Mus musculus: one gene and its partners. The protein of the gene in region 2 interacts with the protein of the main gene of each other region in a biochemical or structural test. Links are inferred from orthologs where the notes say so. Each region holds a gene or a part of one and is shown on either strand. Other genes may lie near its edges.

Region 1 (4,107 bases), on a different chromosome or scaffold from region 2:
GTACTCACCTATATTAAAAAAAAAAAAAAAAAACTTAAAAAAAATGTTTTAAGCCAGCCAGATGGAAAAGGATGTGTAGCTGACCTGTGTTGAGGCCCTTGGCTCCATCCCCAGTATTTCAAAAAGAAAAATTGAACAAACATATATGAGATGCAAAATAAGCAATACAGGTCAGCAAGATGGTTCAGTGGATAAAGGTGCTTGCCACTGAGCCTGATGACTTGAGTTCAATTCTTGGGTCCTACTCAGTAGAAGGAGGAAACTGACTCCTGTAAGTTGCCTTTTGACATTGGAATTTGGGAGCCAGAGGCAGATGATTTCCATGAGTTCCAGAACAGCCTGGTTATATAGCTAGCCTGTCTCAAACAAACAAACAAACAAACAAGGGCTAGGGACACGACTCAATCCCTAAAGTCCTTGCCACAAAAGCATGAAGACCTGGGCATGGTGGCATAAACTTACATAACATTACAGCACTGGTGAGACAAGAAAGAAGGGTCCTGAGGCTTGCTGGTCATCCAGCCTCAAACTTGGTGAGCTCCAGGATCAGTGAGAGACCAAGCAAAGATAGCTTGGTGGGTGAAGGTACTCACCCATAAACCTGACAACCTGAGATCAATCCCCAGGACCCACATGGTGGGAGGAAAAGAACAGACTTTAAAAGGTGTCCTCTGACCCATACATGTGCATAAGCATACACATACACTCCCAATAAAATAATTTTTAAAAATGAGGTGAAGATTGAGGAATAACCCCGACTGTTCCTGTATGCACACAGGAACATGCTCACACACATGCATGCATGCCAAATTGAACAACAACAACAAAACACCCCTGAACTAATGTCACCATGTTGGTGTTGACTAGGAAGTGTCTGAGGATGGGAAACTGAGGTCTGTGTTGAGAACAAACCAGAGCCTGTGGGTAGCTACTGTCACTTCCTGCTTGGTCCTCACCTGAGGGTAACTCCAAAGCTGAGTGTTTGGGTGGGGGTGTGTGTGGGGGGAGAGGCTTTAAATGCACCTGTGCCCAAACCCTCTGCTTCCTCCAGACTGAACCTTCCACTGGTTGTATAGATCTAATCCTCAACCACCCAGGGCACCAGACAAGACAGACAGTGCCATATCTACTCTAAATAAAATTGGGTCAGTGAGGGTTAGAGCTTGCTCAACCTAGAGTTCAAGTATGATGATTCCCTGTCCAGTTCCCTATACTTGACGCCTGACACACGACTGCTTCAGAACACTGACTGGGAAGGAGATATTAGATGGCATTATCACATGACGGTCAGGTCAGGGAGACAACAACTTAGTTGACATTACACAGAAATCATCCCCCAGTTTCCCTTTTCCTTCCAAGGCAGGGTCTCATGCAGCCCAGGCTGGCCTTGAACACTCTATGTAGCCAAGGATGACCCTGAGCACCCGATCTTCCTGCCTCCCTGTCCTTAGTGCTGTCATTACAGGTGTTCACTACCACATCTGGTTTCAGGGTGCTGGAGATGGCACCCAGGGTTCCAACAATGGAACCACATCCTGACTAGGGATAAACCAAGCCTAGTGACTATTCTCTTGTTTCAGGACCATACACCATCCAGGTCACTCTGTTTGGCAGGATTTACTTCCAGGTAACACTCAATGTGAGCCATGACTATTCATGGTAAGGAGCATGGTCAGCACCATTTTTGACGTCAGAACTGGGGCCATCACAAGCCAATTCTGTTCAACTGTGCCGTGAGGCAGCCCTGGGGAAAAGCTGTTCAGGTGGTGTTCTTGGCCCAGTGAAAGGAAGTCAGTCAAGGCTGCACGTAGCCATGGCTGGACTTAGTTTCTTACTGGAACTTTTTCTCTTGTATTCCCACCAGGATGACAGATACTGTCACCATTCCTCAGAGAGAAGGCAGGAGGACTTTGGGTTGGAGTCCTGACTTAGATGTGGATCAGTGGTGCTGGTCCTTTGAAGCTCTGGAACAGCTGAACCTTGAATTTTGGAGTCAGACACACCTGGGTTCAAATCTCATCCCTAATACCTGTAGACTGTGACCTTCAGTGCGTGCCGCACCCTCCCTCAGTTTCAAATTCCTCCTCCAGGGACAAAGCACCCATCACGAGTACACTACAGATTTGATACTGCACATGCCAAGCTTGCCACATAGGAAACTACGAGGTCAGGTGTCACCTCCATGCCTCAGTTTCCACTTTTGGAAGACGGGGGTCTCCCCGGAAGAACAGTGTAGAGGTCTGATGTAAAGACACAGAGAGTTGACAGGCGCCAGGACCCCAGGGCAGGCTCTTCCTCAGACTGCAGCCTGCATGTCCCTGTCTGCACCTTGGTCTCCGGCGCCCGCCAGGGTCCCGGCCTGGACTCCCTGGCGGGAGGTGGAGGCCGCTGCGGTTCTCTGTCCAGCCCCGTGACCCTCCCGGATCCTCGGCCCGAGTGGATCCTGAGTCGATCCCTCAGCCCAGCCCCATAGGGGCGCGTCCAGCCCTGGTCACCGGCCGCCCAAGGCCCCGCTACCTATGGTAGAGATGAATGTGGAGTTGAAGGCGTCCTCGGAGAAGCGGAACAGGACACAGGTCTTCCCTACCCCCGAGTCCCCGATCAGCAGCAGCTTGAACAGGTAATCGTAGGTCTTCGCCATATTACACTCTCTCCCCGACGGGAAGTACGGCCGGCGCCTCGCCACTGGTCGCTGGACCCGTCTATCATCTCAGATCCCGCCCCCTATTGGCCCCCTGCCCGCCGCGCATCATCCAGGCCTACGCCCGCCACCCGGAGCCCCGCCTGTCGCAGAGAGCCCAGGGGAAAAAGGCGAAAGCGGCGCAGAGCCGGAAGCAGCCGACTGCACAGCCCATTGGTTGACGCTTGGTATAGGGAGGTTTGTTATTGGCTAGTGCTGGAGAGTCGAGGGTGAGGGCGTCAAATGACCAGCGATGGGTGTGGTCACATCTTGACCCCGCCTTCCCGTGCGCGCCTTCTCCTCAGCCCTTCAGCGTCCAGGCCCTGCCCCCGACAGGAGGGACCCCAACAATTCCGCGCGCTGGTTGATGAGAGAGTGGGAGGGACGGGCTTGGTGAACAGGCGCAAGCGTACTGGGAAGACGGTTGGCTCTGGCAGAGAGCGCACGCGCGCAGAGAACGCCTCGTGTTTCCCGCCTTCTCTGCCTGCGCAGCAGCAGCCGTAGCCGCAGCCGGCGCTGAGGCGAAGCGCAGGAAGTACCTGTGGTAATGCTTCTGAGGAGGATTTTCGGCGGTGCAAAAGTGGCGCGGGTTAAGATGTGCTGCAGACTCGCTCCTCGGCCTTGGCGCCCACCATTGGACTTACTTAGGTGCTGTACAGGCAAGCCGGCCATTGCCGTGAGCGATCCCAGGGCTTCAGCGCCGGTAGGGCTATGTTATCATTTCCAAGTAATGGCAGCGTTTTTTGTTTTGTTTTGTTTTGTTTTCTTTTCTGTGCTTGCGGGTGCTATCTATACTTAAAAATAAGTCAAGGTCCTTCACCCCACACCAGCCCGGCTTGGTAGGTAATCTTTTCCTCGTTTTATGGTAAGTATACTGAAGACAGGTGAAGTGACTTTCCTAGGTTTCAGAGTAGCATTTTTTTTTCCCTTCTGTTTTTTAATATGTTGAGGTGTAGTCCCGGAGTAACGGGAGAACAGTGACAAAATAAAATAAAGCCACATTAAGATAAACATCTGAGGGCTGGAGAGATGGCTCAGCGGTTAAGACTACTCTTCCAGAGGCCTTGAGTTCAATACCCAGCAACCACATGGTGCCTCATAACCATCTGTAATGGAATCCAGTGCCCCCTTTTGGTGTGTCTGAAGACAACTACAGTGTACTCAAATCTTAAAAAGAAAAAAGGAGTGGGGGGGGGTGGATAGATGGCTCAGTGTTTAAGAGCACTTACTGATCTTCCAGAGGTCCTGAATTACATGGTGGCTCACAATCATCAGTAATGAGATCTGATGCCCTCTTCTGGGGTGTCTAAAGACAGCTACAGTGTACTTACATATAATAAATAAATTAAAAAAAAAAAGATCTGAGTTGCTGACTACATGGCTCAGCCAGTAAAGTAAGTCATTTGTTGCTAAATCTGAGGATTGTA
Region 2 (3,500 bases):
TGATTGGGGACTGAAAAAGTCATTCTTGCACAGATGTCTTTATAATCCTGATTCCTTCGTTCGAACTCTTCCACGTGGGCGGCCAGGTGCGAATTGACAATGCAGAAAGTGGTGTTGTGGAATACAAATCTTACAGCTACCCCACCTTTGTTTCCCTGTTAGACAAAGTATAATGTTACTTAGCACAAGGAGCAAGTGAATTTTGCATAGCTATAAATGATAATCAAATTAATTGCCAAAGGAACTCACCATTTTCCCCATGATTCCAGTTCCAGTTGTTTCTGTAGCAACATCTCGGATGTATTGACACTGATCTTTTCTGGCAAATATAAGAAGCATCATCCCCACAAGGCGGACCAGTTGAACCTATGAATTCCAGGAAGTTACTAACAGCTAACATAAGCGTCCCTTTCTGCTACATAACTAACTTCCTAGGATGACCAACAAGGTGATTACTGATGTCCAAACCTACATCTGCACCCTCTAATTTCCAATAAGACCTCATAAATTGGAAACGACGATTCTCTGTGGAAGCTCTAGTCTGGTTTTGATTAATAAGAGTTAAAAGTCTTGAGGGATAGTGTATAAGTCTCAGTTTTTCTCTCTCCCCACTTTTCTCTCTGTCTCTGTATCTCTCTGCTTCTATTTATCAGTGCTGAGGATCAAATAGAGAGCCTTGAGCATGTAATACAGCTATCTACCACTGAGCCACATCCCCAGTCTTAGACCTCTAAATCACATTGTAGCCTATCGAGAGTATATTAAAAGCCCAAATAGTAGTGTATAAGCCATTATCCCAGCTTGTTCCCCTTCCGTCCTAAAGAGCAACCCTTTGAATTTTGATTCTTTTTAACCTAAAGTTGAGCGAGAGAGCTGTAACATCCTCAAGAGTTATGCTACCTACATAAACTGTTCAAAACCATAGATTACTTTGAGCTTGGGATAATAGTCTTAAGATGAAAATAACTCTCCTAGTAGCTAAATGCCCCTAGCAGATATCTTCTAAAGACCACCAATTGGACCACCTTGCTAAAGCCAAGTTTATACTTGACCTACAAAGCAGTTCAGGATGTGCTGAATTCCCACAGTACTGCTATTCTTGCTCTGAATCGAAAGCACACTCTCTGCGCCCCACATACTCCATACTGCTTTTCTTGTAGGCATTTCATTCTGGCCATGCCAGAGGACAGTCTTATATTTTTATTACACAGACAGATCGGTTAGCTTATATTTAATTATTTGGATTACTAATGCAAAAACAATAAGTTGATTTCTTCCCCAAACCATCTAAAGGATGAAAATGCATGACCAGAAAGCTTATGAATTTTTTTTCTCAGAAGTAACTACAGCAGATTAGTCTCATACAGCACAGTATTTCATATGGAGAAGTCAATTATTTAAACCTTTTGGAAGAGGTTCAGTTGATGGAGTAACTCCCAGTGAGGCCTACTTCATTCTATACTGAAGAGAGAAGCGAGCGAGCGAGCGCAGCTTACTTTTCTATACTTGGCCTTCGAAGGCAGCCCCCTTTCCACAGCCAAGGACCACTCTTGCTCTTTCACAGACTCGAAGTAGAAAAAGGCTTCGGTGCTCAAGTCCAGCTCTTGGAATCTGAGGGAACAAATAGATGCAGGCACTATACACAGCCACAATTTTCTTTGGCTACATCCTTTCCCATTTGCTGAGACATTAGAGTAAAGAAAAAAAAAAAGAGTACGAGATAAATTTTATAAAAGACATGTCGGTTTTCTAAAGACTCTCCATAGGTTATAGAAAAGGAAACAATAACAAACGCTCCTAGGGCCAGTGGTGAGACCTGTCTTTCCCAACCGTTGACTAATCACTTTGAGCACTGAGCTTATCTGTTCCTGCGATGAGCAGTTCCCTATTAGGAGCTTCATTAACGGTTCCTTTTGACCCACAAAATTAACCCGCACACAGAGTGCACAGCAAGTGTTTACCAAACAAGTATGTAAGAACAAATATGCAGATCAAGGCGGGGGAAATGTCCCAGTCAGTAAAGTGCTTGCTAGATCAAGTGTGAGGACCCGAGTTCAAACCTCAGCATCCGTGCAAAAAAGCTGTCTGTGCGGGCATGTGTCTGCAATGCCAGCACCGGGGAACAAGGGATGGGAGGATCCATCTCTAGGGGTTCAGTGAGAGAGCCCATCTAAAAAAATAAGGTAGGTGCCAGGACAGCCAGGGCTACACAGAGAAACCCTGTCTCGAAAAACCAAAAAAAAAAAAAAAAAAAAGGTAGATAAGGCCTTTCCCATAGAAGTGGGTGGCAGCTAAGGTAGGAATTCATAACTGGCCAAAGTGCTGAGATTTAGTGATGGCAGAGCACTCTGCCACTATGGGCCATTTACATCACACTCAGGGAATACCTTTAAGAGGGTATGAAAAGAATGTAAGAGCCAGAAGATGGGGACATGTTCAGCAAAAAGAAACTTGTGGATGACATCGCCACTGTTCCCCTGAACTCGGTACAGCTGCACAGATTGGGCCCGTAAACATTTCATCATGGGCACAGGAGGAGCCCATGAGGCTCTACCCCTCCCTAAGGGACAAGGGGCAGTTAAAGATTGCTGGTGGAAGGGGTGTCACTTTCTTTGGTGGGAAAGCCACTGTTGAGTTGCTCTAGTAAATAGTCTCCCATCCATGTTCACACAAGAAACTCCAACTAAACTCAGCGGCTCATACATATGAAGAAGGCATGAGTGCAGTGGGGGAGTTTTGGGGGAAGAAGATGATGGGGGTGTAAACAACTAAAATTCATTATATATGTAAGCAAAATGTTTAATAAAAAGAGGAAAGGAAATAAGATGGAGAGTGATTGACCAAGACACCTGGTAACCTCTGGGGCTCACATGCACACACCAACACGTTCACACACAAACACATACACACAGATAAGAGGGAGGCTCAAGTCATGTTACACTAACACCAAATATAGGAGAAGGAAGGTCCAGAAGTTTACCCAATGCAGTAAATATCAGGAGGATTTGGATCACAGTCGAGCCAAGGTTCTAAGCTGCTGTCTGGAGACTGGCCGTTCACATTCCAAGTTCCAACAAAAAACCTAATAACGTTACAGCAAAAAAATAATTTAAAAACAAAGATCAAGGATAAACAAACACAATACTGCTTTTATCACTCCTATGAACGGGTATTTTGATTAACATAAATCTTCAAAGTGTTTTGCTAGACACCTAAGAAAAGAATTCTTGGGAGCCAGGACTCCAGATACATATGTAGCAGAGGATGGGCTGATCTGACATCAATGGGAGGAGAGGCCCTTGGTTCTGTAGAGGTTTGATGTCCCAGTGTAGGGGGGATGGTAGAGCGGTGAGGTGGGAGTGGGTTGGTAGGTGAAGGAGCACCCTCATAGAGGCAGGGGGAGGGGGGAATGGGAAGGGGGGCATTGGCGGAGGGGTAACTGGGAAGGGGGATATCATTTGAAACGTAAATGAATAAAATGATTAATAAAAAAGAACTCT
Region 3 (4,249 bases), on a different chromosome or scaffold from region 2:
ACCAAGGTTGTCCCTTTGATCTCCATGAAAATGCTGTGAAATGCACATTCCTTCACACAGGAATACATACACATGCAAACATCACACGCATATACTAAATGTGGGTTATAAGCTTATCAAAAACAAAATATACTAAGGATTTTCTTCCTAAAAAAATCTTTGACCAAAAGCTACACTTAATTTATACTTAATTATAGAAATTTATATTTCCTATAAAATTTGAATTAATACATGGAACACTTGATAATGACAAATTCATTAACGAATATATCCATAAGATCTCCGTGCTATCTGTTTGTTGTTTTAAGACAACGGCTCTCTGTTTAGCCATGGCTGTCCCTGAACTCAGAGATCAATCAGTACATCTGCCTTTGCCTCCTGAGTTCTCTAATTAAAGGTATGCCACACCAAGCCCAGCTCCGTTTTTAAGATACCATCTTCTAGCCTAATCTAGTTACTAGCTTTGAAGAGTTCCTATCTTTACCAATAAATACCAACACATTTACAGATGAAATGTTTGAGCTGCTTCTAACCAACAGCACATAAATAAAACTACCATTTCATCCTGGCATGATGGAGCTTGTCTGTGGTCCTAGAACTTGAGAAGCTGAGACAGAAGCATGCCAGTCAGAAATATTTAGCAAGGCTTGTCTCAAAACAACAGACACAGTGGGCCAAGATTTTAATTCTAGCACTCCAGGGCCAGAAAAAGGTGGATGAATGGCTGTGTGTTCCAAGTTAGCCTGGCCTGCAAAGCATGTTTCAAGTCACCCAGAACTATACTGTGAGAGCTTGTCAAAAGTAATTAAGCAAAATTCCCATTTCTCCCCAATCCATAAAACAAACCAGATTCTGAAGTCTAGTCTCAGCTATGTCAATCTAAGTTTTAATTTTCAAATTTTCTATATTCATTATACCCTAACATTGCACAGCAACTGTTAAGAATTAAATAAGACAACATATCTAGTCTCTGATACAGTGCTTACTAAGTACACAGTGTTTGAAACTGGCAATTAAAATGGCCTCTTGGTGAATTAGTTAATTAATTAATGCTTGTAGATCAATAGACTTCATACAGACTGAAAAAGGCACCAACATACCTTCAGCTTAAATGTTTCTCAATTGTTCCTTACCTATAAAACAGTAAATGACTTATCCAGGACAAAACTTGTTCTGTATTCCTATGGTACTTCCAAAATCTCAGGGAAAACATCGATTCTCACAGAAAATACAAACAAAATTTTGTACTTAGTTTTTAAAAACTGTTTCCTGCCCCACATCCCGATCACATTTTTGAGGGACAGGGACTTGTCGCCTAGGCAAGCACAGGATAGGTTACGGATGGCCTGGACTCCTGATCCTACCTACCTCAGCTTCCAGAGTGCTGGGATGACAGGCGGGGTGCCTTCACAGTCAGTGTCTTTTAAAGTGCAAAGCTACTAAATCTTTTACTTCCAAAGACCTCAAACGGAAATAAGCCCAAGTATAAACCTACACAGGTTGAACATGGTATTAATGTTAAGTGCGAGGGCTGGGGGTGTTCAGTGAAGCTACTGCTCAGTGCACAGAGGTTCTGCACTTATAACTTGTACTTTTATTCCGTCAAAGAAAACTTTTGCATAATATGCATCTCCAATCTTTAAAATAGTTTTTTTATACAGTTAGGAAGTCTTTGATTAAAAAAATTGCACTGAGCCCTTAAATTGTGCCAGGCACTGTTGTGCTGCCTACTTTGTTCACAACCCCACGGGTTCAAATTTTACATTAAGAACGATTCTGGGCAGACCTCAATATTCTGGAAGATGTAACAGTTTTTTTTTTTTTAATTAGTTACGTGCAAGGCAACTGATTCAGAACTTTAAATCCATTTCGGCGAGGCAAAAACTAATATGCCAAGAGTGACAGTCAAAGCTTTAAACTTCTGGAGGCGTTAGGATGTTAACCTGCTCGCACCTTGGCCCGGGCTTCCCACCTCCCACGGAAGGGACCAGAGGATCCCACTACTCGCACAGCCCGGCCAAGCCGGTCAGAGGTAGGCGGAGCTCCCCAATCCCCACCTGCTGGAGGCCTGGGTTCCTGTCTGGAAGAAGCCGAGAAATCAAACCGGGGTGCCGGGGCCAGGAGCTCCGCTGGGCCTGGTGGGCGCGCTCCTGAGCCACCCCCGTCACCCCGGATGCGATCCGGCTCAGTAGCCGGGACAGAGCCCCAAAGACCGGGCTGGAGACCGCCAGGGCCCCAGGCTCTTCCCACGGCGCCATCTTGTGAAGGGAAGAGGGTGCCACCCGCCGCTCCCTCAGAGGATTCCCCACGTCCCAGGCCCCGAAGCTGCTAGAAGAATGAGTCACTAAGCGCTGAGGGCCCGCGGCGGCTTGGAGGCCCCAAGCCCGGCCCGGGACCACAGGGACCCGCCCCGACGGCGGCTTACCTGGGCCGCGTCTCCCGGCAGCGAGGCCACGCACGGCCCGGCCCGGCCCGGAGATCGGATGCGCCGCGGCTGCAGCGGCGGCGTCGCCTGCTCGCTCCTTCTTCTCACCCTGGCCGGCGCGGGACTCTGAGCGCCGCCCGCCGTGCCGCCGCCCCTGCCGGGCTGCGTCTCCGCCTCTCCGTTCCGCCTTCCTTTCTCCTCCTCCTCCAGAGTCGCCGCGCTCGAGTTCCGAGGACTTCTTCCTCGTCGTCGTCGTTCTCCTCCTCCTCCTCCCTCGGTCTCCTCCCCTCAGACCGCCCCGGCTCCTCACGAACCAAAACACAAACACTCGGGCTCCAGCGCAGGAACTGCTTCCGCCGGCTCCGCCACGTAGCCGCACGCAGCGAAGAACGCCGTGACGTCATTTCCGCCGCTGCCCCTCCCAGGAGGCCGGCAGCGGCTTCCTAAGGGGGCGGGGCCGAAGTCACGTGACATCCCCGGGTGCGCTAAGGGAGAATAGTTCGGCCCTCTCTAACGCCTCCTTGATCTGAACCGACATCTTTGGGCTCCGGCTGCAAGGCGAGGCAGGAGCGTCAGGAATGAAGAGGGGGGCGTGGGGTTGCGTCACGTGTCTTCTCCAATTCCCTGGGGCCAGACCTACTCACTTCCTTGCTCTGCCTTCCTCCTCCCCGGGGCTCCACCCTCAGTACCACCATTGTTATCTGGGTGGCGGCGCTCTAAGCCGGCGGGTTGGGAACCCGAGAGGCGTGGGCCAGACCTGCGTTTTATGGGTCTCATCGGAGCTGACAGGGTCCCCACTGCCATTGTCAGCCTGGGTTGTCTTCCCATTGCGGCGATTTTCGGTCTGATGGTTCACTCACAGGCCTCTCACACCACTTCAGCAGCTCAGTAAAGGGGTTTAGGCGAGCGAGGGCTCCTGTGGCTCTGGAAATGCCCTGCTTTTCCGAGAATGGGCGTGTCTGTGATCTCGGAGAGAATTAAGACCCTTAAATTCAAAAGCTGCCTTTAGACAGCAAACCTCAAAAGAATAACTTGCTTTTATTGAGAGTTTACCTGTGTGTGTGGTTTTTTGTTTTGTTTTGTTTGTTTTTTGAGTGAAAAGGAGGAAATCCTAATAATTAGCGTTTATTTGGAATTCCCCATTGAACTAAGTAGTAAACATTTTGGAGTGATCTCTCTCTCTCTCTCTCTCTCTCTCTCTCTCTCTCTCACACACACACACACACCCATTGATAAGCACAGTTGATAAGCACACAGAGTCCTGGCATGTTTGTGGAATGAATGAGGGAGGCAAATAATTTGGCCACGATCACAGGTTAGATATAGTCTAGCCTGCAGCCGGCTCCATAACACTAGTTCTTAAGATTCCAATGAACAGCAGCCCAAGATGTTTATGGCTGCCCACAGCACACCTATTTAAGACGTTCCCTTGATCCGCATAGGTCCAAATACTCCACTCCCCTAAATTCTGGCACTGGTTTCTATCAAAAGAGTCATTCCTTGTCTCTGTCAGAAAGGTTCTGTGGTGCCTATTAGCATACCAAAACACAAGGCTAGCCTTCTGATTTACTCAGTACCTGTGGCTCTTCTCACCCCACTTCCTACCCTAAACTTCTCCAAGTCATGAGCTTCCCTCTTCTAGTTTCTCATTCCCATGTAACCCTACTATTTGACTCTCTCTCTCTCTCTCTCTCTCTCTCTCTCTCTCTCTCTCTCTCTCCCTCCCTCTCCCTCTCCCTCTCTCCTTCCCGCTCCCCTCTCCTGTGGCCTCCTTTGCTCCTTTGTCTTCCTGTCTCACTACCCCATCCCACCCCATGGCCATGT
Region 4 (4,102 bases), on a different chromosome or scaffold from region 2:
GACTAGTGCCCAGGATGGACGAGCTCACTTGCTCTTTGAAATAAAATATCTTCTGACCTTGGTAACACTAAAATGTGTAGCAAGCTACCTTCAAAGCAGAGTACAGCTGATGTGGAATGATATGAATAATGTTTCAAAACTTACAGAAATTTCTTCTTTCTCTGTTACAGCATCCTCCACCCCCCCCACCCCCACCCCAGGTTCAAATTCCTATCGATAGGGCCATCATAAAGAGGCCAAAATCAAAATAAGGCACCTGCATTGCCTCTAGAAAGCCTGTGGAGATTGCTTTGTTTGTGGAGATGGGGAGAAAAAGAAGAGTTTCTCTAGTTCCCTCATCTCATCTTGGCATCTCTAGCATCATCACAGACCAGCAGGAAATGGTCTCACACACCCACACACATATACCACACATACACACCACACACACACACACCACAAACACCACACACATACACACACCACACACATACATATACACCACACAAATACACACCACATACACCACACCATACACACACACACACCACACACACACACATACACACACACCACACATACACATCACACACACCCCACACACATACACACACACATTTACACATCACACACACACATATACACATCATACACACACCCCACACACATACACACACACATTTACACATCACACACACACATATACACATCATACACACACCACACACACACCACACACACACACACACCACACACACACATACACACCACACACACCACACACATACACACATACATATACACATCACACACACACATATACACATCATACACACCACACACACACACACACACCACACACACACCACACACACACACACCATCAGAGACCATTCAGTACCAGTTCTCTGCCTTCGAAGAGAAGGGAATGAATGATATGTCCAGTCTACAGTTAAACCACTCATTTGGCTCTCCCACACCCTGGGGCAGAAGACAGGCCAGACCTCCTGACTCCTGGTTCTGAGTCCTTGCCACACTCGTCACTGTCCCAATAGGACACTGAAACTAAAAATTAAAGGTGATGTCATTGAGACTGTGCCTGGGCACCTAGGTGGACTGCAAAGGAGGAGATGCAAGTCACCTCCTAGAGCCAAAAATGTTTCCTGTTTCAACGTTCCCCATGGCTAACTGTTACATGCCCCTCGCACCAACACTTCCTCTTCTTTGGGGCCTGCTATTCCTTTGAAATCTTCAAAGGCCTTTCTCCCGTGGGATTCCTAGGTCTGGACTACTGGACAGCCCCGCAGATATGAAGCTTGCTACTCTGACACCGAAAGTTCTAAGGAGAAAGAACTCCAAGAGCAGCATCCTGCCCGGCCTCCTGGGTGAGAAGCCCCTGGGGAGGCCTTGCTTGACACTGAAGGGGAAGAAAAGGCCCTTGCCAGAAGCCCTGGGATTCTCCACCAACCACTAGCTAAGGGGAAGTGCCAAGGGCAGTGTGAGGATCCGACTTCCATCAAAGGATTCGGCGGGGCCCAGGTGAAACCACAAGTCCCTGGTGCACCAGATCCTAATCCACAACATCGCCTGTATTCACCTCCATAACCATCCTGATTAGCATTTCTTTGAGGAGAATGAATGCGGCCCTACTCTTTTATTTAGGAAATACTTTTCCTTGCAGTGCCAGATTTGCCAACTTCAAGGGCAGGGCGGTATGCCCAGTGATAATGCCAAAGACTACAGAAGACTGCAGAGAACATGGCTTATAACATTAGCTCTTATTTGGGAAGACTTCGGGAATTTGTTGTGGGTAGCCCCAAGGAAATGACCCCCAAACACTGAATCCCTGGGGGGGGGCAGATTTCAAGGGACAGCGCAGTGTGCCGGAGTTTGTCAGTCTGGCCCTCCAGTCTCGGAGTTTGGATGTTGTTTCTTTCTTTGTTTCTGACTGCTTTTATATTTCTTGGGACTAAGACTCGTTTTGGAAGAGGAAGGGTGTTGGGGGCGGGTGTTTCTCATCCTGCTTCATTTTCATCCACTGCACGGAAAGTGTGCTGAACACACAGTTCATACAGAGTTTGCTCTTAATACTTCGCAGTCGGGCCAAAACCCCGGTACTCCCTCCCTTGCTTGGAAGGATTGGTTTGTTGGTTTGTTTTCGGAGAGAATAAAGAAATTGCCATCACTACTCCCTACCTACCCCCGCAGGAGGCAGAGGAAAACCTAACTTAAACACTCCTCCGGGAGGGAGCCACCAGTGGCAGAGGCAAGAGTCCTAGGGGCCCAGGGGCTGCATGACCCGCTGTCCTCTGGTCCTCAACAATCCCCCCCACCTCCCACCCCTCCACCCCGCCCTGCCCGACCCGCAGCCTGGCGAGCCCCAAGGTTGCCAGATACCCGGCCGCAGATGCAGCGATCCGGGGCGCTCGGGAGAATCTGGTGGCGGGCGGAGGCGGCTGGTGCCGGGCGCGGGATGGAGCGCGCGGGACATGGGGAAGCGCACGGGAGGCGGGCAGCGCAGAGACAATGGCGCACAGAAGCCGGGATCCCCCGTAGGATGGCTCCAGGACTTACCCCGAGAAGACACACTTTGAGCTCCCGTATCGCCATCATGTGCTCTGGGTCGGGCCCGGCCGGGGCTCAGCAGCATCGTCCGGGCCACACCGCGCCCAGCCTGCGTCCTGCTGTCTCCCAGGACTCTCGCCGGCCGCGGGGCGGAACCGCCAAGGCGGCTATTTCTGGGCCTCGGCCTCCGCTGTCGGTCACGTGCTGCCGGCCGGCTCCTCCCGTCACGTCTAGTCTAGCCTGGCCGCCGGGCTTCGGCTCCGCCCGGGCCCCGGTCCGCTTCGGCCTCCAGTGACCACCCAACATCTGACTTGTGGGCAAATCATCCCCTTCCGTGATCAGCTCTGAGCCCGGTCGGGCACCACTTGCCCTGGACACACGACCCGTCGCGTCATAAAGAGCCATTGGAACAGTTTATGCTGTTGGCTGTGGTCCCAAGGAAGCACTTCAAAGTCTCTGGGTAGTCCCACCATAAAGTGACTCTGACCTCCAGATGCAAGAAACATCAGCGAGAAACCGGGATGAGGGGAGGAAAGGGTTAACTTGTCCCTTCTAATACCCAGGCTTCAAATCGCTTCCTCCCAACACTTCACTTTACTCTGCATGCATTCTTTTCTGTATGCAGCAAAGGATGACTCAAGGATGATTCGAGAAGCAGTCAGGTGTTTTGGCTTCCAAAACTGGAGCACCAGGGCCTGGGAAAAGAGAGGTGCACTCTGTAGAGGAAGCCCCCTTTCTCCATGTAGAAAAACGCTACAGCTATGTGGGCAGGAGCCCAGCCACAACTGGGGGGCTGGCAACCCTTCTGCAAACTCCTCTACTAGGAAACTGAGGCTACGTGCAGCGTCACACAGAGGGGCCATGGCCTCTGGTCTTTGTATGGTCCGTTGTTCCTCCAAGCCTCTGGGATGACTTCATTTGTTGCTGTGTAGAAATGACAGCTCTTTAAGAATAATCTAAATTTACTGGTACTACTAATTGTATGCATATGTTTTAAACAGCAACACTGGACGTGGCTCTGTTGGGAGAGTGCTTGCCCAGCATGCCTGATAACTGTTAGAAGGATTGATCCAGGCAACCTGGAAATAAAACAGAAGCCCTTTAATGAGAACAGTGAAGAGCAGTTCTCATTACCTGGCTTTCTTGCCAGGCAGGTGTTCTTATCAGTATGCTGAGTCTGGAGTTCTCACCAGAAGAGGGCATCAGATCTCATTACAGGTGGTTGTGAGCCACCATGTGCTCACATGTGGTTGCTGGGATTTGAACTCAGGACCTTCAGAAGAGCAATCGGTGCTCTTCACCGCTGAGCCATCTCTCCTGCCTGAAAGCCAGTTTTAAGAAGTGTTTAAAGGTTTGAAGTATATGGACGTCTGGTCTGCATGTACATCTGCACATCAGAAGAGGGCATTGGTGAGCTACATTTGTGAGCTGCCATGTGGGAGGTTGGAGTACGGGACCTGGGCTCTGAACTCAGCATCTCTGGAAAATCAGCCAGTGCTCTTAACTGCAGAGCCATGTCTCCAGGCACCCAAAGCAAGTTTTGACAAAGCATTCTGCA

Evidence for each region.
Region 1: the proteins of Ocrl (region 2) and Rab8a form a complex in vitro, tested with the Homo sapiens proteins (2 studies listed by BioGRID and IntAct, with this or other methods). The link is inferred for Mus musculus from reciprocal best matches to the Homo sapiens genes OCRL and RAB8A.
Region 3: the proteins of Ocrl (region 2) and Rab5a form a complex in vitro, tested with the Homo sapiens proteins (2 studies listed by BioGRID and IntAct, with this or other methods). The link is inferred for Mus musculus from reciprocal best matches to the Homo sapiens genes OCRL and RAB5A.
Region 4: the proteins of Ocrl (region 2) and Rab31 form a complex in vitro, tested with the Homo sapiens proteins (2 studies listed by BioGRID and IntAct, with this or other methods). The link is inferred for Mus musculus from reciprocal best matches to the Homo sapiens genes OCRL and RAB31.

Annotation. Positions count from the first base shown.
Region 1 is NC_000074.6:72,159,893-72,163,999, reverse strand, and holds the start of Rab8a (ras-related protein Rab-8A), read right to left. Parts: upstream 2,801-4,107; 5' UTR 2,642-2,800; coding exon 2,518-2,641; intron 1-2,517. UniProt on the Homo sapiens protein: The small GTPases Rab are key regulators of intracellular membrane trafficking, from the formation of transport vesicles to their fusion with membranes.
Region 2 is NC_000086.7:47,932,956-47,936,455, reverse strand, and holds part of Ocrl (inositol polyphosphate 5-phosphatase OCRL), read right to left. Parts: intron 3,083-3,500; coding exon 2,981-3,082; intron 1,612-2,980; coding exon 1,497-1,611; intron 367-1,496; coding exon 250-366; intron 156-249; coding exon 1-155. UniProt on the Homo sapiens protein: Catalyzes the hydrolysis of the 5-position phosphate of phosphatidylinositol 4,5-bisphosphate (PtdIns(4,5)P2) and phosphatidylinositol-3,4,5-bisphosphate (PtdIns(3,4,5)P3), with the greatest catalytic activity towards PtdIns(4,5)P2.
Region 3 is NC_000083.6:53,477,785-53,482,033, reverse strand, and holds the start of Rab5a (ras-related protein Rab-5A), read right to left. Parts: upstream 2,801-4,249; 5' UTR 2,426-2,800; intron 1-2,425. UniProt on the Homo sapiens protein: The small GTPases Rab are key regulators of intracellular membrane trafficking, from the formation of transport vesicles to their fusion with membranes.
Region 4 is NC_000083.6:65,769,953-65,774,054, forward strand, and holds the start of Rab31 (ras-related protein Rab-31), read right to left. Parts: upstream 2,801-4,102; 5' UTR 2,593-2,800; coding exon 2,554-2,592; intron 1-2,553. UniProt on the Homo sapiens protein: The small GTPases Rab are key regulators of intracellular membrane trafficking, from the formation of transport vesicles to their fusion with membranes.